4 linked regions of the Schizosaccharomyces pombe genome follow. The gene in region 2 interacts genetically with the main gene of each other region. Each region holds a gene or a part of one and is shown on either strand. Other genes may lie near its edges.

Region 1 (6,333 bases), on a different chromosome or scaffold from region 2:
GAAATGGCTACATTGAATCTTGGTTCTTTTTTTTCTCAAAAATGCTCTTTCCCTTCCACAATGCTCTTTCCATAGTCGCTTCTGTTTAGATTGTTTTAATGACGATGTACACGCTGTAAATTCTTCCAATCTTTCCTTCCTTAGTTTATGGTACTCAATTGTGCTAATATAGTAATTGAGGAAGAAAACTTGACAGGCCATCCGCTTTCTTCTTGTCTCGGGTCGACTAAGTATTTCAACTTCACTGGGCTTTAGTAATTGGTAGTAAGTTAAACCTTTAGGATCATTTCTTTTCGTCCAGCAATTTTGTCTTTCTTCGTTGAGCACCATGCGTTCATTTTTCGAAGACACACTTGCTGACGCATTTTCCCTGTCTCGTAAATAGCCGCTTGATAGTAAAAATAAATCAGAAAATTCGACTCCATTTTCTTTTGCCTTTGATACTAGTTTGTTATTGTCTAATTCTTTAAGGCCCAGTAGGTCCATTCTATGTTTGTGGAATCGTTCTATAAAATTGTCCCAAGTGAATTGCTTTTTCCATGCAATGGATTCTTTCCTTTTTTTGCTCCTATTCAAGTTTATGTGAGCTCAATTTTGAAATTTATTTTGAGTACACGTTGTGCCTGAATAAAACTCGATTCTCCCAGCAAATGTAAACAAACACCGGGTTCTGGGAATTTTTACAAAGATGATACATGCGCAGTAAAATTTACTTAAAAAAGGTTAAATAAAAAATTATATTTCGAATTCTTTTGCGCGATTAAAATAAATTTTTTTTACGAATATGTGTGATTATTTCCTTTATAATCAGGGAGATACAAACACCAAAATGGTTAATCGAGAACAAAAAAAAATAAAAAATAAATATAAATCTTGGAATTAGCTTATTTTGTCAATTAAATTCTCCAACTAAGTAGATATGTACTGGTGATTAAGAAAAGCTATATACTTCAACCGCAAACTATCCAGATTATTATTTATGTTCTTGTGATGATATAGAAGGAGACCTAGAATTGCTTTCTTTATCCGTTTTTATTTGCCTTGAAAGACTCCTGTTTTGTCGAATCAAATCTTGAAGCCTTTCTCTGGCACCCAACTTGTCTCTTTTACGACCTTCTTGCTCAGCCTTGAGTTGAAACTCCATCTCTCTTAGTCTCAACTGCCATATATGGCTCATTCCTTCAGCATCTCGTTTCAAAGCTGTGATACCTCTTTGAACTGCTGACTTATCTGGAGAAGCGGGAACAAGCTTTTTATCCTCGGAATCCAAACTAACGCGTTTTGAAGCCCTTGGCGAATTTGGAATAGATGAAGTTGACCCAGCGCCTAAAAGTTTCACTCGTTCTTCCAACTGTGATAAACGCTTACTTCTAGCCTCAAGTACACCATCAAGCTTCCTGAGTTCGGTCTTAAATTCCCGCTCCATTGATTGACACTTCCGTTTGAATTCTTGAATGGATTTGTCCAACTCCCTAAAATTCATATTTACTGCCTGATTCATGCTTGAAATTGTCGTCAATGCTTCAACGTTGGTATTTACAGGCTTACTTCCCGTATTCAGTTGGGTAAAACGAGTGACAATGTTTTTTATGAGGGAATTTCTTTCTTCCACTTGCTCTTTAAGGCGTTTTTCAGATGCTTGTAAAAGTTTAAGTTCTCTAGATTGACTCCTTTCAGAAGGACTGGAAGATCCAGAGAGGTTTCTTCTGAAAGCTTGTGAAGACAAATTTTCCAACTCTAATTGGATTGCTTTTTTGGATCGTCTTTCCGCATCCAGTAAGTTCTTTAACTCCTTCTTTTCAGACACTAACGTCTCCAAAGAGTTTGTTTTTTCTTTTAAACTTTGCTCACAATGGTAGATTTTTTTCATCAACTTATCAGTACCAGACTGATCCTTTTTATTCTCATCTTTTAGTTTTCTTATCTGTTGTACCAAATGGTTAACCGAGCAGTGGGTGACCTGTTTATCAAATGTTTCCATAATAGCATTCTGCAAAGAATCGAAATTTTCGCGAAGGGTAACGTATTGATTATTTCTTTCCTCAATCTCACTTTTTAAAGAAGAGTTTGATGACAATATACCTTCAAATTCACGAAGTTTTTTATTTAATGAATCTAATTCGTCATTGTGCCTTTCCTTCAAGTTGCTAAGATAATCGGCTAACGATTCTTTACTCGTTGTAACGCTTTCCATTTCAGTTTTTAACTGACTAAGTTGATCATTTAACGACTCAATTTGCTCATTGAGTAAAAGTTTGTTATCGTTACTTTTCACCAGCTCGCTTTCTTTCAAAGCAATTACTTGCTTGTTTTCTTCATTTTCCTTCCTTAAAGAATCAACTTCTGCTTCTGTCATTTTCAACTGTTCAAGAAGATTTGATGTCTTTGAAGTTGAATCTTCCTTCGCTTTATTATTTTCTTCTTCCAAAGTTTGCAGCCGCTTTTGTAATTCGTCAAATTCATGGCATTTATCGTTATAACGTTCTGACAATTGGGTAATTTCATCAGTAAGCTTTTCAACCTCTTCTTTGAATAAAGAGATACTCTCCTCATTTTCCCGTATTGTTTTCTCGAATTTCTCAATTTCACGCTCTGCTTCAGTCCTAAGTTTACCTACTACTTCTTCGTAATCATCAGACTCTTTTGAAGACTTTGACAGCACCTCTTTGGTATCCTGGAGTTCTTGGGTAATCTCTTCGACATATTCCTGGAGTTGGTCAACATCTTCCCGCCATTGTTGCTCCATTCTCATCAATTTATTTTCATAATCCTCTTCAATATCTTGCAACTGTTTATATAAACGAGTAAGTTCAATTGATTGCTCTTGGGTTTTCATTCTAGATACCATCATAGAATCCCACAATTCATTCTTGCTTGATTCTGCCTCTACAATCGCATTCATCTTCCCTGAATTCAAAGCAACGGTAAGCTCCTCCACTTGTTTAACCAGGCGATCATTTTCCTGCTTGCGAAGTAGTAATGCTTCATTTTGCATAGATATGTCCATCCTCAACAGTTCATTACTACGCTGAAGTGTTTCAATAACACGCTCATCAGTATTTTTTGCAGGCATAGGAACTTTTTTGGATAACTGTACGCGAAGGGATTCCAACTCTTGCAATAGAGCTTCCTTTTCCCGCCGTTCGTTATCAAGCATATTTGACAGTACATTACGATCTTCATTGTATGCCCCAACAGAATAATTCGTCTTCTTTGATTTTTCTTTTCTCAAAGCCGCAAACGCTCTTTTGGTAGTTTCAAGCTCTGAAAGAGCCTGCGAATACCTCGATTGAAGAGTAATTAGGTTTGAAGGGGCCGGGCTGGGGGTGGAAAGGTTAAAAGACTGATCAGGCTTAATCCGGCTTTCTAATCCAGATATTTTTTTCTCATAGCCTGCAACGGCTCGTTGAAGCTCCATAGTAAGGGTCTTCAAATCGATGTTTTGCTTCATAATATCTTGAACCTCCTGATCGTGGAATTTATTTAATTGATCGTATAGAAAGTAGCATTTCAGTTTCAACCCAAACACTTCCTTTCTCAAATTATCAATCACGTTTGCTTGTTCCTTTAAAGTTAAGGAGGAGCCGGGCTGAGATTCCTCAAACTCTTTGGCAAGTGCATTTTTCCTGTCTTTTAGGTCTTTCATAGCAGACGCCGGTATCAATATATCGGAGATCTTTTTGCTTAAAGCATTGGTAGTGGGGGCATCTTGAGAATGTAAATAATTTCGTTCTTCTTTTATTGGGGTTAATTGCAAATCATCTTCATCATCCAAATGAGGTAACTGATCTAGAGAAGAAGAGATATAGTTCGGACTTGAAGGGTCCGAAGTATAATCGTAATTATTGTAACTATCTTCTTCATACTGCTCTTGGCTCTGAAACCCTTGATTAGCCGTAAGTACGGGAGAAAGCTGTTCATCATCAGTAGTAATGTTGTCATTGAGACGATCAAAATTCGTAGTATCCAAAAAAAAAGGTGCAACAGAACTATTTCCCTCCTCGTCCTCGCTATTCAATTTATTGACTGATTCATCGGGAGATTGAAGCGGAGTAGAGCTCGTTGGAGCAGTAGCATTTTGATGGAGACGAGGTGATCCAGAATCAGATTTTAAAGAATCTCTATCAATTTCAAAATCATACTTATGAGAAGCTTCTTCCGAATCTTCGTCTTTTGATGTAGAAGAGGGTAATTGCCGAGATCCTTCCTTTCTGGGTGATAAAATGCGACGAACTTCCTCGTCCGTCAGCGAAAGACCAGCTAAATTATCCACTAGAACATTAAAGTTATTACTATCTAACTCACTGGAATTTTCTTCCATAATTGATTAGAAAACGAACTTCGACATAAGCAAATCCAAAGCAGTAGGCATTGACTCTTGTAACAATTTCAAAGGAGCGATTTTTGAATAAGAAATTAATTCTTTCTTAAATTGTTAATTGTTAAAAGAAAGTATGGGATCGAAGATATGCCTATTGATACGCTATGGCATATATGTAGTGGCAGTAGTTCTCAATGGCTGTCTCTACTTGACGCATGTTAGACTAACGATCAACAAAGTAGTAGACTTGTAATTGCGGACTTTACAATTTTAGAAGGTTTAATGTTTGTGTTAGAAGCAGATATTTTCAAAAGAAGTTAATGAAATTAATTATACATTTGCACACACTCGTTTACATTATAAATAGCCATGTTATTTGGCATGCCTATGGCACATACACAAAACAATAGTACATACATTGATGATATGTAAAACGTAACTATGATTTTCATTAGATTAACTCTCCTCAAGTTAAGGTATGTTAACCTCATTTCACACTGTGAATCCTAAGTATATTAATTATTGATGGAATAAACGTTAAAAACACTAAAGTCCGCTACGATTATGCTTGAGTACATAGGTTTTCACGAACAAGCGTAAATTTGCTTTCCTACGTATAGTTGGTATGTAGCCTGAAATTATTTGTTTCAGTCTCTATTTTCACCGTGTTACATGATGCTACATTTCGATGATTTCAATCGCAACGGTAAATTGAACTATGAATATACGAACAAATATACTTTTCATTAAGAGAACATTTTTAATTTGCATAGTGTGTTCGAAACTTGAATTGAGTGAATGCGAAAATAAAGTCCTCTACAACTCATCAACTTGAGATATGTAGAGCAGCTGAAAAAAAATAATAATAAATAAATAAGTATATGTAAATTAATTTATCTAAGTAAATTAAGTTAATACTACTCAGTATTTTTTTTAATACAACAAAGAAAAGCATTCTTTCTATTAAGCGAAGGATTTTTTTTTTTTTTAAATCAATTACAATCATCACTTACTAGAATGAACCAACTAGTTGAAAACTTTCTTTTCTTTTCAATTTTTTTTTTTATTCAAGCTGATCATTGATCTGATATGTTTTCTTCAAACATTAATTCCATGAAATTGTTTAAAAAAATTTGCGAAAAAAAAAGTTGACAGGTATGTAAATATTACTAATATAGATTATTACAAAATAAAAGAGAAACTTGGCATCATCACTCGCTCTACATAATTTTTATTAAGTAAAAATGGTAATACATAAAAACTGCTTCAAACTCGTCAGTTACGTACTCTGCTAAATCGGTTAAGGTGTCAGCAATATTACATACGCTGCGATACACAACGCTGAATATCACTATATGCTACATATTCTAATTATACCATAGATGATACGATATTACGATTGTTCCTAATGAAATTATAATAAGTTCTATACTATCTGAATAATGCAAATGGAAGCACAATTGAAATGAAGAACGAGGATCAGTTATACGCTATATTAGTGATAGGTAAAAATATAACCTGTATAACAGAATAACTATACCCCAGTTGCGACCTTTATGACCCGCGTATTGCAATATGAATGATTATAAATATGTATTAAGATATTTGTAATAATGTAATACATTACTATGAATGCACTTAAATTAACTCGCGAATGAACTCATAAACGGAGTTCATTTGAGTTTACTTATAGAAATTCAATGAAGGATATATCTATATTCACCTTATATAAATGATGCGGGTATATAACGATCCAATATACAATCATTACAGTTCTGACTCTGAAAATATGATGTCCGACAGCAGCTATCTGAATGCGATTATGCCGACCCTATGCTAAATTCATTTAGTGCTACTGCATCATGTTATGCGACCAAAACCATATTATTGCCAGAGGTCATTTAGCCACGGAAAGCTTACAAGCAACATATGTTGAAAAGAAGAGTTACAGCGTCAAAAATCGTTCTTAACAACGCAGTGTGGTATTAGTTTAACGAGACATAAGGACCGCG
Region 2 (4,225 bases):
TTTGCACTTGAATCTGAAAATGCTTCATAAGCTTCTCCTTCACGATACTGTCCTTTTGCATTATCTTTTTCAAGAATGTACTCTATGGCATCCTCCAGGCTCCCGGAATTTTCTAAAGCCAATCTGCTTTGATCGTCAGAAAAGCCCAAATCGCGTAGCTTTTCATACATCTCGTTGGAACTTAACTTATCCTTTGCAGTATTCATATTAGTAATTTCATTATGGTTTTCAAAGGGGATAGAGGTTTCCGAACCAATATTCTCAAAGGCGGGTAAACTGACAGGCTGATGCGGCTCTAAAGACAAATCCTTTAAAGTTACTTTCTCGGAAGCCGATACTTGTGGTTGTGAAATCGGCCTTTTATTTTCTTCAATCTTATCATGAATAACTGCATCTTTATCTCTAGGAGTATTTGATAATTGATGCAAAATTTCAAGGTTTTCAAAGGGATCGTAATTTGAAGATTTGGGGGTGGAATTGGAGTCCGGAGTTCCAACTTTCTGCCTTTCTAGTTCTTTTAAGGAAATTTTATTATCCGTTTTCTTTTGAAATAAATTAGCAAAAGGGTCTTCGGGCTTTGATGCTTTCAATGGAATTTGTGCATTCTTTTTCTGGGCTACTGGGGCGGGAAGGGAGTAGGATGGCGTTCTACTATTATTATTACTGTAATTATTTTGATTAGATGGTGTAGATTTATCGTAAAAATTGAAATCTAGCAAGTCATCCATGTTGGAGGCTTTATTATGGGAGTGTAGTGAAAGTAGGTTGAACTATCCAAGAACTTAACGTACTGAGTGCTTTCCACTTTTGTCGGCATCAGCTAATTTTCCTTTGATCCATGAAGGAAATTCTAGAATTGCTTGTATTTCCGCTTTTTTCTGGATAAACAGCATTCGCTGTAGCTGTTCACGAACAACGGGCTCCTTTTGGAAGCCTTCAAATTGTAATAATGTTGTAATCATTTTAATATCCCTTTTATTCAATTTTAAAGAGAATTCTTGGTTTTTATTAAAAATGTCCTCATACAGAGGGCCTAAAAGCTGTAAATTTCGTAATTGACTGTGCGGTTCATGACTGTAGGCATTAGAACCGTACTTGAAACAGGAATAAATGCATAAGCCATGGGGGTCCCAATCAAAAATACCAAAAAATTTAGCATCCGGGAGGGCTTTGGCTAATTTAACTAAAAATTTTCTCGTCATCAAATCTGGAAATCCTTTAGCCTGTTACAAGCAATTAGTTAGCTAGCACTCTAACATCAATATCATTGAAAAGGAAGCATTCTCACTTACTGTAACAATTATTGTATCCGCTAAAGCCTCTTCGGTTAGCGTTTGGAATACCGCTTCCTTTTCGATGACCAAGACCCATTTTGCTGTGGAAGTGATTGATGAAATTCGATGGTGAGAGATTAATAATGGCTGTATTTAGTAAAATTCTTAGTTAGAAAAAACAATTTTTACGGTTATTAAAACTTGAACCTACTTTAGTAGCAGTAATTACTGTCCCGTTTTCAAGAGCAATATGAATGGACCCAAATACCAATCCTTTAGCAGATGCTTCCTAAGATCAAATTAATCGTTAATGAATCTATTTCCAAAGAAATGACTTACAACGTTAAGGTCGGACCTGGAGCAACCAATGGTGTTTGAAATATCTCCAAGCAGCTCATCGACTACGGTTTGTCGCTTGAATAAATCTACATCTCTGTAATAAATATCTCTGCAAATGTAATTAGAACTTAAATCTGAATTTTCGGCGTATAGTACAAAGCAATTACCGCTTAGTGATTACTGTATCCGAAATAACAGCTTCATGAACACAATCTAAAACCCTGAATAGTTGAGCAATTGTTGTTTCATTCCTGGGGAATGAAAAAACCTTAACTTTTTGTCTTTCATTGGCCTTTGAATCTAAGCTGCCATTCCAAGAATTGTGCTTTCGTCTTTTCAAAGCAACATTTACTGAATCTTTGGTAGGCTTACTTAATTGCTCAACAAAATCATGAACAAATTGCTCAATCCATGATCTAACAACTTTTTTTTTATCATTCGAATTCATTTTTTTTACTTTCTGGACGCGTTCAGCATTCTTTGCATTGTCTAGATAATTATGCAAAGCGCGTATGGTTACAGTGTAAAAAATCAATAGCTTAATTCAAATAAGCTATATCTAAGCGAGATTGTTTTCTGAAGAAATGATACATACATTCAATAAATGGGTAATATCAAGGCGAAACAGTATATGTGTTTTCGTTAACTGCTAAAAAATACTTACTGAAGACTTTCCTTCTGATAAAATGGTGTAAGAGAAGACTCACGCGAGCTTTGCGGACTGAATTGGTAAATCGTAAAGATGGATCGAAATTTGAAATTCCTAAACAACTTATGTTCTTGTCTACAGAAAAGTTGAAAGAAAAGTAAATATATTTGAACTCTTTCGAGTTCAAATGCAACATACGACAACTAAGAGCCATAGATCAAGCGGTTACTTAATTTATTTCTATAGTTTTAATTTTCTATAAAAATATGTATATCAACTGTTTCAATAAATATTGTACTTATAATTTCGTTTTGCCAACTCCTTTGTCAAGAGAGAAAACGTAATTAAAAAACATGGTCACAGCCAGGTTCGAACTGGCGACATTCGACTTATTAGATCGACATGATAACCGACTACATCATGCGACCAACTGTTAACTTGATGATTATTTAAACCTATTTATAATAACATTAATGTTAAAAATATGAATGAAACTGACCTTTTTATACAAAAGGTATATATATAAACAAGAAGGACTTTCATTTTAATTTTGATAAGACAGTTTGAAATATCCTCCAATCCAATTTAAGATTGTTTCTAGTTTACAGATTTTCAAATCAGGAATTACTAAGTCATTTGCAACACTAAACATGAAGAAGTAGTCTAACTCACTATCTGCTCGATGTATATGTTAGCATATGCTTTCCTTGTGCCAGCCCTAAAGAGAAACTGACAGTGGTTTGCTTTTGCAAATGAAAAAATAAAATTGGAGAACATACAATTGTACGAAAATGCTACCTATCCAAATGGGTCTTTAACGAATTTTTTAAGCTTAAAAGTTGCCATATGTAGTGTGTTTGCTTGATTCATTAATAGTCATTTATTATGGTGCAATACTTCGTCAAGACAATAGTGATAGCTTTTTTAACTTATTGCGAGAACAGAAGATAGCAATTAATCTGATGTACAAATAACGATAATATTCTAATGACATCAATGGAAAACAATAATGAAAATAGGCACTCCATATTGCTTCCCGAAATTTGTACTTGTGGCATAGCAGATAAACAGGACGAACTAGATAAAAAATGAGCAAGGGTTTCTAAAGGAGAATAATTTCATCAAGTTTTTTTTTTTTGCTTCTTCTTAATAAGTATTTAATACTCAAGAAAACGTAGAAACAATTAGGCAACAATAGCACTGTGGTTTACAGTTACCCTTTCTTATACAGAAAAGATAGAGGTTATGACAACTGTTAAAACATGGAATTTTGCATGATGAACCGGTATTACTTTTGTAAGTTAATACAATAACAAAAAGATAAAAGTTAATAGAAAATTTAGGGAAAAAGAAGTGCAAAGCTCTGAGAATCATTCCGATATACTTAGACAATAGTAAAATAAATAAATACTTAGAACACGGACGGATTTTGCAATTTTAAGAATTAGGAAGTCCCGTAGATATTATTTAGAAGAAATTTTCCAAAGCATAAACGAAGTAGATAAGGAAAGAGCATTTTTGGAAAACAAACTTAATGGTCAAAACTATGACCAAATTAAAAATTCACGAATTCATAAACAAACCCAAAAAACGAAGACATTTTCGATATGAGCAATAAGCATATAAAAGGGGCTCTATGATATGGGTTGGTGGGAAAGAATGCTTAAAAGGGATTGTCGTAAAACTGGTAAATTATAGAATGAATAAAATCGCAACATTCAAAAAATGTTTTAAAATTATTCAAATATTTAAATTGAGAAATGAGTCTTGTCGCTCATTTCAAATAAATAATAATTACAAGAGTATGTCATATATGAACAAGAACTTAATGGAGTATCAGTTTTGCTCAGCAGTTGATTTAGTAGGGAATTTTTCCAACACCATTGCATACCGGGCAAATTTCGGTAAAGAATATAAAGTCAAGTTGACCACTGCCTTTGCAATTCCCGCAAACCCTTCCAGG
Region 3 (4,969 bases), on a different chromosome or scaffold from region 2:
GATACAAGACATGTCATGCCATCATGAAGGATTAGACTGAAAGACGGCCAGTCGTAAAAAAAATAATATATTTTTTCGCAAAACGTAGTCAATTAAAAGCAAGCTCGCGAATTAGGCTAGCCCTTACTTGGACCTAGCTTTGGTAATGCAATATCCCAGGGACCGTGAATTTCACTAAGATATATATGTGAGAATTTAGAAAGAAATAATAAAATAAAATAATTACATACTTTTTAAATCTTTGAAGCTTAATAAACCAAATGGGACATATAAACGAAATGAAAAATATTAATGAAAGAAAGACAAACGCAATAACAACAGATGCAACAGCATTCAAAGCAATATATGCACTTATGATCAATACGAGGGTCATAAGCATGTCAGCGTAAAAAGAGAAAACCTGTAATTGGTTAAATAAAAGAAAAGGCCAATAAATTGCTTCTTACATGAATGTATTTGCGAAAAATGGGGAATAGTGCAAACCAATGAACGGCAAAAAGAATAAAAAAAAATACATTAATTGACTTTTCCAGTCGTGAAGCTAGAACAACAGATGCACTCAGCGCCGCATTTGTTGATAAAGAATTGTGTAGCCTAAAAAGAAAAATAATTAGAAATGGAATTAATTACGATGAAGTTTCCAAAGACGTACCTGACATGAGGTCTGATAGTTTCCGTCGTATATTCATGAAAAAATACGTTCGCAAGGAAAAGCCAAACAGCAATAGCCCAAACTGAGTCAGGAGAGGTAGATTTTGTTAATGACATTAGAATTGGCGATAGACCAGCAAGCGTAAGAACAATTAATATACAAGATTTAACGATCCCCATGTAATTAGGAAAAGTTCTATTGTTACAAGGCTTTCTCAACACAAAATCCCACAAAATGAATGCCGCGACCGCAGAAACATTTGACACGAAACCAACAAGCGCACAAGATAACTGGTTCCTATAGATCGAAACGAAAACCGAGGCAAATATAACTACGCTTGATAGATGCTGGGAGACAGGTAAACTATCGGCCACTAAAGACCAAAAGTCAGTGACTTGAATGTTAACATTTCGTTGTAAGCCATTCAAAAAAGATTCATCAATGAAGTTATCTGGGTAATCTTGTTTCCTCCATAAAACCTTTTTCCAAGGTTTCTTTAGTTCAACAACTTCTTTTACAGAGGCTTTCCTGAACGTGTTCAAGACGAGTGATTTCGCGACCATCTTTTTGGGCGCTGGAGCAGCACATACTTCATCCATTCAGTTTTAAAGTAATTTATAAATCAACTAAATAACTACATTCGTCCTAAACTCTCATACAAATTAAGCTGAATTTGCTTCCAATACCGTATTTTCAACAGTTCTTAGAGTAGTTGGATTTGGTTAACATCGACTGACTATAATATAAGTTGACTAGTACTGTATGTTTGGGTCCGCAAACAAATAAACCACACTTTCCTAATTTAATTCATATATATCTACTTTAAAAAGTACATTCAGCATCGTTAAGAGTTTTTATTCCCAAGAAAATGATTTAACTGCATGACTCTGAATATAGGGTTGTTCATGAAATCTGCAATCGCGCATACTCGCAATTGGACTTTAATCTATCAATTGACAATTCAAGTGATAAAATTTACGACTGAACTCTTATAAACCCGAATTCAAGCATTCTAGTAAGCTAATAAGTCAACATTAATTATAAACAATTATTCTAAATTCAACGAAAAGTAAACTTTCACGAACAGGGTTTACATTTTACGAAAAATATGTGTATTCTTTCTAACTTTCCCTTATTCAAAAACTGCAAAAGGTTATCTCTTAGTTTCCTATTCTTGATGTACGTTTAACTCGTAGTGTTATAAAATACTTGAAAGCTAAATGTGCGTGGTACAATAAGATGATCAGTAGAAAAATATGCTGTTTTTTTTTTTTTAAAATAAATATAATAAATGTTCTTGTTCCATTGCTTGCATCTGTATGTTTTCTAACCATGTTTATGTGCGTAAACAATAGAAAGAAAAGGATAAAGAAAGAAATTTCACAAAAATATATAGCATAAATTTTTTTTAAAAAAAAGAAAGGAATATCTGCTGCTTTTCACAAATTGTTCTAGCTGCGCGTATTTAATGGTAATCAAATTTTGTTTCACACTGAATACTGATTTCATCTACTACCAACATATACCATTACACTGTATGTTTCATGATTGTCAATATATGAACGGACTATTTTAAGACAAAAAATCGAAACGACCATAAAAATTTGATAAAAAATTGAAAGGAAGCTAGGCGTTTTGTGCGTGTTTGTTTAAATTTGCATTGGTCAATTAACGCGTCAATTAGTAATCAAAATAGTAGAAATACAAAAAAAGGAATAAACGGTATGGAGAAAGAGAGACAAGATGGATTATCTGACAAGCATAAATTCATTCTTCAATATATAATGTGTCGCACAGCTGGTGTTGATAATGAACAAGTTCGTGAACTTGTTCAAGAGCAGTATGGAGAAACGGCAACTGTAGAAGATGTAATAAATGAATTGAACAATTCTTTGCACAATTTCGATTTTAAGATAAAACGAGTACAGGATCAACTGGATGGAAGATTAACGCTGCACTTTCAGAATTTATCTGGAGACCCAGTATCCCAAATGGCTACTCCTTACCCTCCTGTTCAGATAGAACTTATGAGAAAGATAATCGAATGGATCATGAAGTGTGATGATTACCAATATTCATTAACGACTCTGCAAATCCAAAAATTATCGAGAAAAGAAATGGGATTGGCACCTAGTGTTATTGAGTCTCACTTACATACGTTTGAACGTGATGGATGGCTAAGACAGAGAGAGGGTATTTGGACATTTACGAATCATGCGTTAGCTGAATTGGATGCTTATTTACACAACGAATACGAGAGCAATTTATACGAATGCAACGCTTGTCGCGAAATTGTAATTGCTGTAAGATACATATCACAAATGCAAACTTACTAACTGAATACCTTATAGGGATATGTATGTGATTGTGGCTACTGCTTGCATGTTTACTGTTGCAAGCATTTAGCTCATGTTAATTGTATAAATTGTAACACGCCATGGGCAAATGCGACCGTTATAGGACGCTGGTAATTTTTTCACTACCTACTGGTGTTCGCTTTACTTGTTTATACATTTGGGCTACTTGGGAAAGGATATAGAAAACTTATAAAATTAACAGTTTTTAATGTTGGAAAAAAGGGTTCGTAATTAAACTATGTGGAGAACACTCGCATTTTAAACTGAAATCGTTAAAATTCAGGTGAAGGGTTAGACTCATAAAACACGAACTCAAAATCTTCTTTACAAAAAAATAAAAGAGAAATGACATCGATCATCAAACGCATAATCACTGTCATTTTCTTTAAAAATGTCCGCATTTACATCACATTTAAATCTGAGTGCAATCGTCCTTAAAATTAGAGCTGTTAAAAAAGCCATCTTGTACCAGTTTATCGTAATTTGCTGCAAGAACAATAACAAAAGATGTTTTTGCGTCCAACAGCTTTTTTTTTAGTATGCTTAATAGGCAGTGGCTGACGAAGAAAAAATTACCCATTAATTAATTTATTCCTTGATGATAGCCAACAACTCGTGATCACGGTACAACGAATACTCCTCTTCGCCCACCTTGATGTTGCTTCCACCATAAGCAGGCAGCAAGACACGATCACCAACGGCTACGCTGGGTTGAGCCAGTTTACCTTCCTTGTTATAACCGCCCTTTCCGACGGAAATAACACGACCTTCGGATAACTTTTCAACGCTCTTCTCAGGTAGAAAGATACCAGAAGCGGTTTTGGTGTCGGCCTTGATACGTTGAACCAGAATACGATCCAAAAGAGGCACGATTGACTTGGCGGATTTCAGTTTGGTAGCCATGTGAAAGAATGCAAAATGATTTTAAAAAAAAGCCTAACAAATACAAAAACTGTGGTTAATGCCAATATATTTCCGTCAAAACTTGTTCGTTTTGGGCAAGTGCTCAGTAGCTTCAGTTGAAGCTGTGATCCTCCTTATTAATCTTTTGCAGATCATCTGGAAAGTTCTACCAAAAGTTTATTTTGCGTTAATACTCAAGGTTCCGGTAAAACACAATGCGAGATTCGGCTCCAATATGCTATATTTTAATAATGTTAACTACGCAGTTTGGTATCTGTTTTAACGACACGCAGAACTGCGGTGAGTTTTCCTTGTGATTTAATATATAGTGTAGTATAGCTGACATTGCCCTCCCCAAGATTTTCTATGTAAATCTGAGGATAAGTCATATGTTCTCAAATATTTAGATTATTGTTTTTAATATAATCATTGACAATTGCTTTGTCCGCTTGTAGCGCTGTAGCTAATGTAGTCCATCCTGACATAATAGTACTCGGATTTAGATTCGAAATGTACTTAACGTTTAAATAGAGTACTTGTTCTCTATTTTTATGTTCTAGGATATGGAGAATTGTTCCTATGTCGGATTCATCAATGGTAGCGTAATTGAGTTCTGAATTATGTCGATACTTTTCTAGGTGAGAAACATGAAAAGTAGATGGAAACATGTGCTTGATTGAATCTGGAAGATCCAATTCATAGTTGTTTGGGCCCGACTTCTGTTACACATAGAACGGTCCTGCAAAACTGACACGTATCATACATGTGATGCAAATCACAGTAAGTGTAGTTATGTCGTGAATTACTAACATTTACTTTACAATTAAAAGATAGAGTATATAAAAATGGTATTGCTGTCAAATAATTTAGTTGGAAAGCCTTCATTCAAGTTGGATATTTGTCGATAACGATGGTTTCCGTACCACCGTAAGAAATTTCTGGTTTTCTACGCACTGAACGCAGTTAAGGTAATTTTTGCTCAAAAAAGTAAACTGATGCAAAAATGGTTGAGATTTTGTGGAGGTTAAGCGACAATTTGATTATCGCATACTTAAAA
Region 4 (8,442 bases), 300 kb from region 2:
GCATTGATCTTGAATTTCACGCTATCCTAACCGTTTCCCTCTTCTCATCTACTTTTCCTGTTCCGATCAGTTATGTTGCTTACAATATTGTACATAGAAAAATTAATGATACATATGTATCTTCTGCAGATTTATACATATTCAGCATATTCGCTTTCGTTAATATTAATATAATTTTCGCGCACAAAACGCTGGGGCTTTTTGAGTTATCAACAATACCACTATATCAACGAGGTTATTGTTGCCGGTAAAAATGTTTTTGTAGTTTCTACTATGTGTTCTTATATTTTGTATTTAGGCTATTGGGGATAATTGCTCATCCGTCTACTGTTTATACGCAACAGCCGCAGATATTTTTTATTTATTTAATTTTTAATTATTACCCTGACCCGATAATTAACCTTGTTAACTGACATTATCTTCAACCCCTGAATAATAATTCATTTGCCGTTGACTTAGAACATACTAAATTTATTTATTTCTTTTTTTATTTATCAAAAAATACTGTTAATCCAAGCTTTTGCGCAATCAGCAACTACTTTTTTGCAATCTTATTTATTTAATATTTGCATTAAAATTGTGTAAGAAAAACAAAACAAAATTATCAACTTTTTATATACATACATATTTTATATTGATCTAACGCATAAAAAAAGACACGCAAAAGAAAAAAGATTTATTTATGAAATTCTATTGAATAACTGGATTCAATATTTCACATATTTTTTTATTTACTTACAACAAGGAACAAATATCGAGATCCAACGTGATATTCTACCTGGTATCTTAATAATAGTTTGGCTGTTGTAATGTGGTTTAATACACTAATATAAAATAAAGAGGGTTGCTTAGCACTCAATAATGCAAAAGATCTTATACGTACTTAGTTATAGAATTTTCTTTTCACCATTTTCATAGCATTTTCATATATAATAAAAAAACAAAATGGCGACTACGGCGCAAAAAATAAAAGAAGTTGAAGATGAAATGGCCAAAACCCAAAAAAATAAAGCTACGGCTAAGCACTTGGGAATGTTAAAGGCCAAGCTTGCAAAATTGAAACGTGAATTGATCACCCCTACCGGTGGAGGAGGTGGTGGAGGGCGTATGTACTGAACGTCAAATTTTTGTTTGGAGTACTAATCTTTCTTAGTTGGTTTCGATGTTGCTCGTACCGGTATTGGTACTGTAGGTTTCATTGGATTTCCCTCCGTCGGTAAAAGTACACTCATGACTCAGCTTACAGGAACGAGAAGTGAAGCCGCTGCATATGAATTTACAACTTTAACAACGGTTCCGGGTGTTTTGCAATACAATGGTGCAAAAATTCAAATTTTGGATTTGCCTGGTATTATCGAGGGTGCCAAAGATGGTCGTGGTCGTGGTAAACAAGTTATTACTGTTGCACGTACTTGCAACCTTATATTTATTGTTTTGGATGTATTGAAACCAATGTCTCATAAGCGTATTATTGAAGAGGAATTGGAAGGATTTGGTATAAGATTAAATAAGGAACCCCCCAACATTGTATTCAAAAAGAAAGAACGTGGTGGTATCAATATCACCAATACTGTCCCCTTGACTCATATTGATTTGGACGAAATTCGTGCTGTTTGCAGCGAATATCGTGTTAACTCTGCTGACATTGCTTTTCGTTGTGATGCCACCATTGATGATTTGATTGATGTCTTGGAAGGAAATCGCGTTTATATCCCGGCACTTTACGTGTTAAATAAAATTGATTCAATTTCTATTGAAGAACTTGATTTGATTGATCGTATTCCTAACGCCGTACCCATTTGTGGTAACAGGGGTTGGAACATTGACGAACTTAAAGAAACGATGTGGGACTATTTGAATTTGGTTAGAGTCTATACACGCCCTAGAGGTCTTGAACCTGATTACAGCGAACCTGTTATCCTTCGTACTGGCCATTCTACTGTCGAGGATTTTGTAAGTTTTCGAATTGCTTCTGCCGATCTTCGTGTTGCTAACTTCTTTAGTGTAACAATATTCATTCAAGTATCAAATCCCAGTTTAAACATGCTTATGTTTGGGGAAAAAGCGTTCCTTATCCTGGCATGCGTGTTGGTTTATCTCATGTACTGTTGGATGAGGATGTAGTGACGATTGTCAAAAAATAAGTCTTTTTTCCTAACATCTTACTTTCCTTGGTTTCCCAGTATTGGAATATATAGGCCTGAAAACTTATTTAACTGGTTACTCTAATAGGTGGGTTACAATGACTTAAAATTTTAGATGGTAATTTATTTCGTTATTTGTTCAAATTGTTTTTTCTTTAAAGTAAAAGTTTTCGTGTATTATAAGCTTAATGAATGATTGTGTAGAGTGTTTTGTGACATATGTCTTCCTTCAATTACTTTTTAATATCAAATTTGCAAACGCAACTTATGAAACGCTACTCACTTTGCTGAAAGAACCGATCATTAAATAAATCATTTCTGAGTATAGTACGGGAACTTTTAAAGGTTAAAGTTGAAAATTTTAGAAGAATGAGTCTCCAATTAGAGAAAAATTTGATTCTTGAACTTATTCCTCATTTTTACAGTCTTGGATGGATGAAATTTGGCAGGTAGCGTTCAAGACGTTTAATGTTCAGTAATTTTTTAAAGCTAATTGGTATTTAGTGGAAACTTTTGTCTAAAGAACAAGTAATTGTACGGTATTCAAACGATTTTGTTAACATTTAGTGGTTATGCAATTTGCGTTAAGGACAGGGTTCAAAGAGACTTCATAACGGAAAACGATATCGTGACCTTTAATTTAAGGTAAATTATTCATTTGGATCAGCTCCAATTAGTATCTAACCTTTTATACAGCAATCAGTCAGTCACCAAGGATTTAGTCAATTGGGCCTACATTTTCTCATGGGTTTTGAGGTATGCATCATTTTTTCTATTTACAGCAATTTTTAACACATCAAAAGTAATATGGATGCAGTAGCCTGTATATATTCTACTTCAGTCGCTGCAGTCGGAGCATCGATGTATAATGAGAAATTTACTACACAATCTAAGGAAATGATCAAAGGAATTCCAAAGGGAAATCCTTCAGCAGGCTATCTTTGCTGTTTTGATACTCTAGAGGTTCCTAGTAAGTTGTGTTTTCTGTTGGTGTTGACTGGTATCTGAATACTGATTATGTAGTTATCCACAATGGCGATAGTAAAACAATATTAGATGAACTAAAAAAAGTCATCGAGCTTTATCCACAAACATGTGCTGTTCTTATTCGTGGACATGGGGTTATCGGTTGGGGAGCAACATGGGAAAAATCAAAAACTCAAATGGAATGCTACGAATATCTTTTTGAGTTAGACTACAAATTGAAAACGTTGTAGGCTATTTCTAAACACTATTTAATTCTCTAAATCAGCATTCCTTTCATACGTTTCCTTTTCTCTACGAGTTGCTGAAGGCGTTGTTGTCGGTCGTCAAATGGTTTTGTCTTGGATGCTTCTTCATTCCTTGAAGATATAGAAATATTTACATCCGGGAGGTCTTCCTCTAAATTATTGTTGTTGTCATAAAACAGTGTAGACTTGTCGTAAGAAAATGAATTATGTTGTCCTTTCCTTTTCAAAGTTGTCATCCTGTATGTTAATAATCTGTAATTATCGTTAAACAACTCAATAGTTTAAACACTTACGGATTTGGGTGTAAAGGTTGTCTAAAGTCATGCATCTTTGGCTGTTTTGTGTCACGATCCGTCGAGTTGATATTTGATACTTGGAATTGGTTGTTTATTTCTCTTCTCCACTCCTGAGCCTTTTGCGAATCTATAGTATTTAAATGCTTTAAAAATGAATGTATACTTTTCGTAGCTAGAGAATGCGGTATCCGTCCTGTAACACTCAATTGAGATAACCTCCTATTTCTATGAATATCCAAACCTCTTAAGCAAACACGCTTATATTTTTCCAGTTTCTTTTCTTGTTCAATGCTATATGTAACGGGACATATCTCGAACGGTGATTCTTCAGACTTGGCTAAAGCACGTTTCGGTTTACCTAAAGCGGACGCAGTAATAAATCCATTCAAGGCATTTTCTGGCATGAAAAATTTCTTTTTTATTTTCGTTCTCAATTGCACTTTCTTTGGAGCTACTACAACTTCTTCATTTTCTTTGGGAATTTCTATGACTCGTTTATCACAAACCGGGCGAAACTTTTCTGGTAAAATTCTATAACTTTTTTCCGATAGGCTGAGACCGCGACCACTGACAATATTATCTTGCAAAGTTCGATAAGCGTCTTTGGCTCTCTCCCATTTTGCTTCTTCTTTGCCTCGCGTCAAAAGCATATAAATATAACCTTTCCTTTTTCTCCCAGTTCTGCCCATTCTTTGTAACATCCTTATAGGAGAAGCAGATGCATCGTAACATATGATCATGTCTACTTCACCTATGTCCAAACCCTCTTCTCCAATAGAGGTAGCTATTAAAGTATTGACTTCACCTTTTTGAAATTGTTTCACAGTCTAGAGATTAGTTAGTTAAGGATCCATCATTTTCAGATTACATACTTCATTCTGTAATTTTTGAGACATTCCAGCAGCCTTTCTCACAGCAGATTGTCCAATAAAAATAGCTGGTCTCACATTTGGATAAAATTTACCCAAAAATCGTAAAATCTCTTCGGCGCTAGAGCGGATTTCAACAAAAATCATAATTCTGGTATCCTTGGTTTGTTCTTTTTCAAAATATTCTGTAACAATACGTTCCAAATGCTCTAGTTTGGGATGTCCGACAAAAGACTGATCTCGCAACAAAATTTCTATATCGTCCATTAAAGGACGATAATTTTCGTGATTTATTATGCGTTTCTTATAACCTGATCTTCCTACAAAGCATTCTTCTTCTACCTCTCGCAATTTTTGATAAAACGGTCGGATACCATGGTTGAGTAACAAATTTAAAGGATAGGCAAAAGTCGCTAATGCATCAAAAGTATTTAAAATATCCCATTTTTGATTAGCAGGAAAGTTTTGACCAGACATTGCAAGAAAAGCTTGTTTAGCTTGAACCACAGTGAAAGAAGTTATGTCTTTAGCATTCTGAATTCGATAATAATTACCCTTGTTCAATTTTTGAAGCATAGGTTCCAATATAGAAGAAAATCGATCTCTTATATCTGTAATCTCTGCAGACAAATCTACAGGAAAAAAATCCACCTCTTTCTTCTGAACGTATTGCGATATATCAATGCTGTTTTCAGTTCTAATCTCAATCCTGGATATATGAAGAGAATCAATTACATTCTGAATTGCTTCTAACTTATTTCCGGGGGTAGCACTAAGAGCCAGTATACGGAAATTTTTGTTGCTAAGAGAAAGTAGATGAACAACTTCCACATAAGCGTAATTTCCAGTACTACGATGTGCTTCATCAATTACTAAACAAGATATACGAGTCCGATCGCAAATTCCATGCTTGATGTCGTTTAAAATGGTTTGAGGAGTTACGAAGAAAACATTTCGACTTTGATAATACTGATTTCGAGTTGTAACAGGAACGTGTCCACTTAATTCAGCAGTTTGACTCTTTGGAATTCCAGTGATTTTATAGCAAGCTTCCATTTGTTGTGTAACCAATGGTTTAGTAGGAGCCATGAAAACAATGTAACTTTTTGGAAACCAACGAAGATAATTCATCATCACAACGGCTGCAATAAATGTTTTACCTAAACCTGTTGGCAAAGCTACAAGTACATTTTCAAATAAAGCTTTTTGGACAATATTAAACTGATAATCTCGAAAGGAGACGTTTATAGGGTATACCCATTGCTGTGCTGCACTTTCATCTAACTCGTGTTGTAGACGATATCTATTGGAATCGTTGGCATCAAAATATTCATCAACTGAGTATCCATTTAAACCTATCGTGTTATTATGATATTCATTCTCAATTTTATCAACTACTTGGGTGTCCAATTCGTCCCAGTCTTCATCACTACTAAAAGAATCATCGGACATCCTTATCAATGATTTATATTGTTAGCAAAAATTTAGCTGGAATTACTTAAAAACGAATTTTGCTAAGGTACTTCGTTTCGTCAGTCGTCAAATACAACAATTCCATAAGACATTCACTGCAAAGCGTCCTTTATTGTCGGAAGTAATTGTAAAGGACAAGTTTTTTCCCTCAAATGGTTTAAGATACAATTAACTTCATGAGAAAGTAATGAAGTTAATTATGTTTAAAATTACATTGCCAATGTGTATATTCCATGTCTTTTCAGTAACGATTTGTTATAACGAATTATTGCGCGGGTGTAGTATTGTATTAGGGAAGCACCTAATAACCGATATAGAATTCGTATATCATCATAATGGTTTTTGTATATATTCACTATAAGTCGCTCTCTATACGATAAACAAATAACAAGCATAGCCGAACAAATCCTATCAGAAAGACATGTAATGGCTCTTAGATTAAAGAAAATGATTAGCTAGATGAAGTAAAACGAGTTGAAAAGTGTCCGTACATAGACTAATGTTGCTAGAATTCAGGACTTTCTGATGTTTGTACCTTCAAAATTGGACTTTGTTTGTGGTAACATATCACACATCAAGTGAGTAAAAAAACACTCATTTATCGAATAATAGCCATAATCTTTAATCTATCACATAATTTGAAATTTCCTCTTCGAAGAGTTCCTTTGGAAATTCCATAAAGCCATTTAACGTATTTTAAATTTACTGATTCACTAAGTATAAATTAAAGAATTTAAGCACTGCATTAAGTGAAATAGTGATTTTGTTCAAAGGTCATACTTCTATGAAATTGTAAGCTACGCAGTTTGGTATCTGATTTAAGGATACGTAGAACTGCGGTGAGTTTTCCTTGTGATCTATTATATTACAATACACAGGTTGTATAAGTAGCAACTGAGTATAGGTATTGTATTAACTGGGTTATAATGTTACCTATCACTAATATAGCTCATAACTGAACTGAGGAACGAGGTTCAGCAGTAGCTCTATTTATAGTATTCAGATAATATTGATCTTAATAGATTATCATTAAGATCAATCTCCATATCGTATCATACATGGTACGATATATAATTAGAACATGTGACATATAGTGATACTCAACGTAGTGTATTATAGCGTAGTGTAGTATTGCTGACATTGCCCTCCCCAAGATTTTCTATGTAAATCTGAGGATAAGTCATATGTTCTCAGATATTTAGATTATTGTTTTTAATATAATCATTGACAATTGCTTTGTCCGCTTGTAGCGCTGTAGCTAATGTAGTCCATCCTGACATAATAGTACTCGGATTTAGATTCGAAATGTACTTGACATTTAAGTAGAGTACTTGTTCTCTGTTTTTATGTTCTAGGATATGAAGAATTGTTCCAATATCAGACTCATCAATGGTAGCGTAATTGAGTTCTGAATTATGTCGATACTTTTCTAGGTGAGAAACATGAAAAGTAGATGAAAACATGTGCTTGATTGAATCTGGAAGATCCAATTCATAGTTGTTTGGACCCGACTTCTGTAACACATAGAACGGTCCTGCAAAACTAGGTGCTAATTTATTGGATTTATGAAGAAAACCTGTTTTCGTTCTTTTGACCATAACTAGGTCTCCAGGTTGAAATTCTTCAATTTCTTGTATTTTCATATCGAAATACTTTTTCATCTTTATGTTGTTTGTATTCAAGTGTTCTTTAACTGTTTGAAATACTTGGATCGTTTCCTGAGAGTTTTCGTCAGTTTTGTCACTAAAGCTAGGTAACTCTAAAGGTGATAAAGCTGGTGAATAGCGATGTACTATCTCAAAAGGTGTCATTTGAGTTGCTGAATGTATCGCATTGTTGTAAGATTGTTGCACTAGGGATATATGATCTACCCATGTATTTGGATGTGTGCTACATACACATCTTAGTAATTTCTCCACAGTTTGGTTTGTACGCTCAGTTTGTCCATCAGTTTGTGGTCTGTATGGTAACGAAAATTTCATAACGAAATTATATTTATGTGCGAAATCTTTCCACGTTTGGGAAGTAAAAATATGATCATTATCTGCAATGATTTCTTTTGGATTGCCGAAATAAGCAATAACTCGTTGATCAAACATTCGAGCTGTTTGCTCTGCTGTAATGGATTTCGTACAAGGTACTAAGATTGCCATTTTTGAAAATCGGTCAACTACCACGAAAAGTGCATTATAACCAGATGATTCTGGTAAAGCTGTAATAAAATCCATTGATAAAGATTCCCAAGGTCTTTCTGATGGGGGAATTGGTTGTAAAGGTCCATAAGGTTTATGATTCCTAGATTTGTTTATTTGACATGTATGGCAGTTCTGTACATATTCTTGTATTTGTTTTCTTATTCCTTTCCACGTAAATCTACGTAATATAATGTTTGTAAGAAGTTCAATGCCTGGATGAATCAATTTACCTT

The links.
Region 1: of rec12 (region 2) and mto1, changing one suppresses a phenotype caused by changing the other (phenotypic suppression), as found in Schizosaccharomyces pombe (one study listed by BioGRID).
Region 3: of rec12 (region 2) and nse1, a mutation in one rescues a mutant of the other (synthetic rescue), as found in Schizosaccharomyces pombe (one study listed by BioGRID).
Region 4: of rec12 (region 2) and fml1, changing one suppresses a phenotype caused by changing the other (phenotypic suppression), as found in Schizosaccharomyces pombe (one study listed by BioGRID).

What each region holds. Positions count from the first base shown.
Region 1 is NC_003421.2:1,678,951-1,685,283, forward strand, and holds mto1 (gamma tubulin complex linker Mto1), read right to left. Parts: upstream 4,322-6,333; coding exon 974-4,321; 3' UTR 811-973; downstream 1-810. Other genes in the region: mug27 (protein kinase Mug27/Slk1), read right to left, coding at 1-486. UniProt on the Schizosaccharomyces pombe protein: Spindle pole body (SPB) component that acts as the gamma-tubulin complex-binding protein of the SPB outer plaque.
Region 2 is NC_003424.3:1,770,761-1,774,985, reverse strand, and holds rec12 (DNA topoisomerase type II (DSB-forming) Rec12/Spo11), read right to left. Parts: upstream 2,062-4,225; coding exon 1,781-2,061; exon of another isoform or gene 1,723-1,780; coding exon 1,614-1,722; exon of another isoform or gene 1,564-1,613; coding exon 1,486-1,563; exon of another isoform or gene 1,422-1,485; coding exon 1,293-1,421; exon of another isoform or gene 1,224-1,292; coding exon 783-1,223; downstream 1-782. Other genes in the region: UBA/TPR/DNAJ domain protein Ucp7, read right to left, coding at 1-728; protein hua1, read right to left, coding at 4,121-4,225. UniProt on the Schizosaccharomyces pombe protein: Required for formation of the double-strand breaks (DSBs) that initiate meiotic recombination. Required for crossover recombination and chiasmatic segregation of chromosomes during meiosis I.
Region 3 is NC_003421.2:1,191,821-1,196,789, forward strand, and holds nse1 (Smc5-6 complex ubiquitin-protein ligase E3 subunit Nse1), read left to right. Parts: upstream 1-2,166; 5' UTR 2,167-2,376; coding exon 2,377-2,955; intron 2,956-3,003; coding exon 3,004-3,123; 3' UTR 3,124-3,597; coding exon of another isoform or gene 3,598-3,912; 3' UTR 3,913-4,203; downstream 4,204-4,969. Other genes in the region: gpi2 (pig-C family GPI synthesis protein), read right to left, coding at 117-174, 231-400, 447-594, 653-1,251; protein Hsp10, read right to left, coding at 3,598-3,912.
Region 4 is NC_003424.3:1,468,611-1,477,052, reverse strand, and holds fml1 (ATP-dependent 3' to 5' DNA helicase), read right to left. Parts: upstream 6,220-8,442; 5' UTR 5,994-6,219; coding exon 4,545-5,993; intron 4,500-4,544; coding exon 3,670-4,499; exon of another isoform or gene 3,614-3,669; coding exon 3,388-3,613; 3' UTR 3,362-3,387; coding exon of another isoform or gene 3,168-3,361; 3' UTR 3,115-3,167; coding exon of another isoform or gene 2,948-3,114; 3' UTR 2,901-2,947; coding exon of another isoform or gene 2,841-2,900; 3' UTR 2,790-2,840; coding exon of another isoform or gene 2,712-2,789; 3' UTR 2,673-2,711; coding exon of another isoform or gene 2,649-2,672; 3' UTR 2,594-2,648; coding exon of another isoform or gene 2,514-2,593; 3' UTR 2,145-2,513; coding exon of another isoform or gene 2,004-2,144; 3' UTR 1,954-2,003; coding exon of another isoform or gene 1,154-1,953; 3' UTR 1,106-1,153; coding exon of another isoform or gene 946-1,105; 3' UTR 778-945; downstream 1-777. Other genes in the region: SPOM_SPAC9.07C (GTPase Rbg1), read left to right, coding at 946-1,105, 1,154-1,953, 2,004-2,144; SPOM_SPAC9.06C (5'-methylthioribulose-1-phosphate dehydratase), read left to right, coding at 2,514-2,593, 2,649-2,672, 2,712-2,789, 2,841-2,900, 2,948-3,114, 3,168-3,361; Tf2-1 (retrotransposable element/transposon Tf2-type), read right to left, coding at 7,205-8,442. UniProt on the Schizosaccharomyces pombe protein: ATP-dependent DNA helicase involved in DNA damage repair by homologous recombination and in genome maintenance. Capable of unwinding D-loops. Plays a role in limiting crossover recombination during mitotic DNA double-strand break (DSB) repair.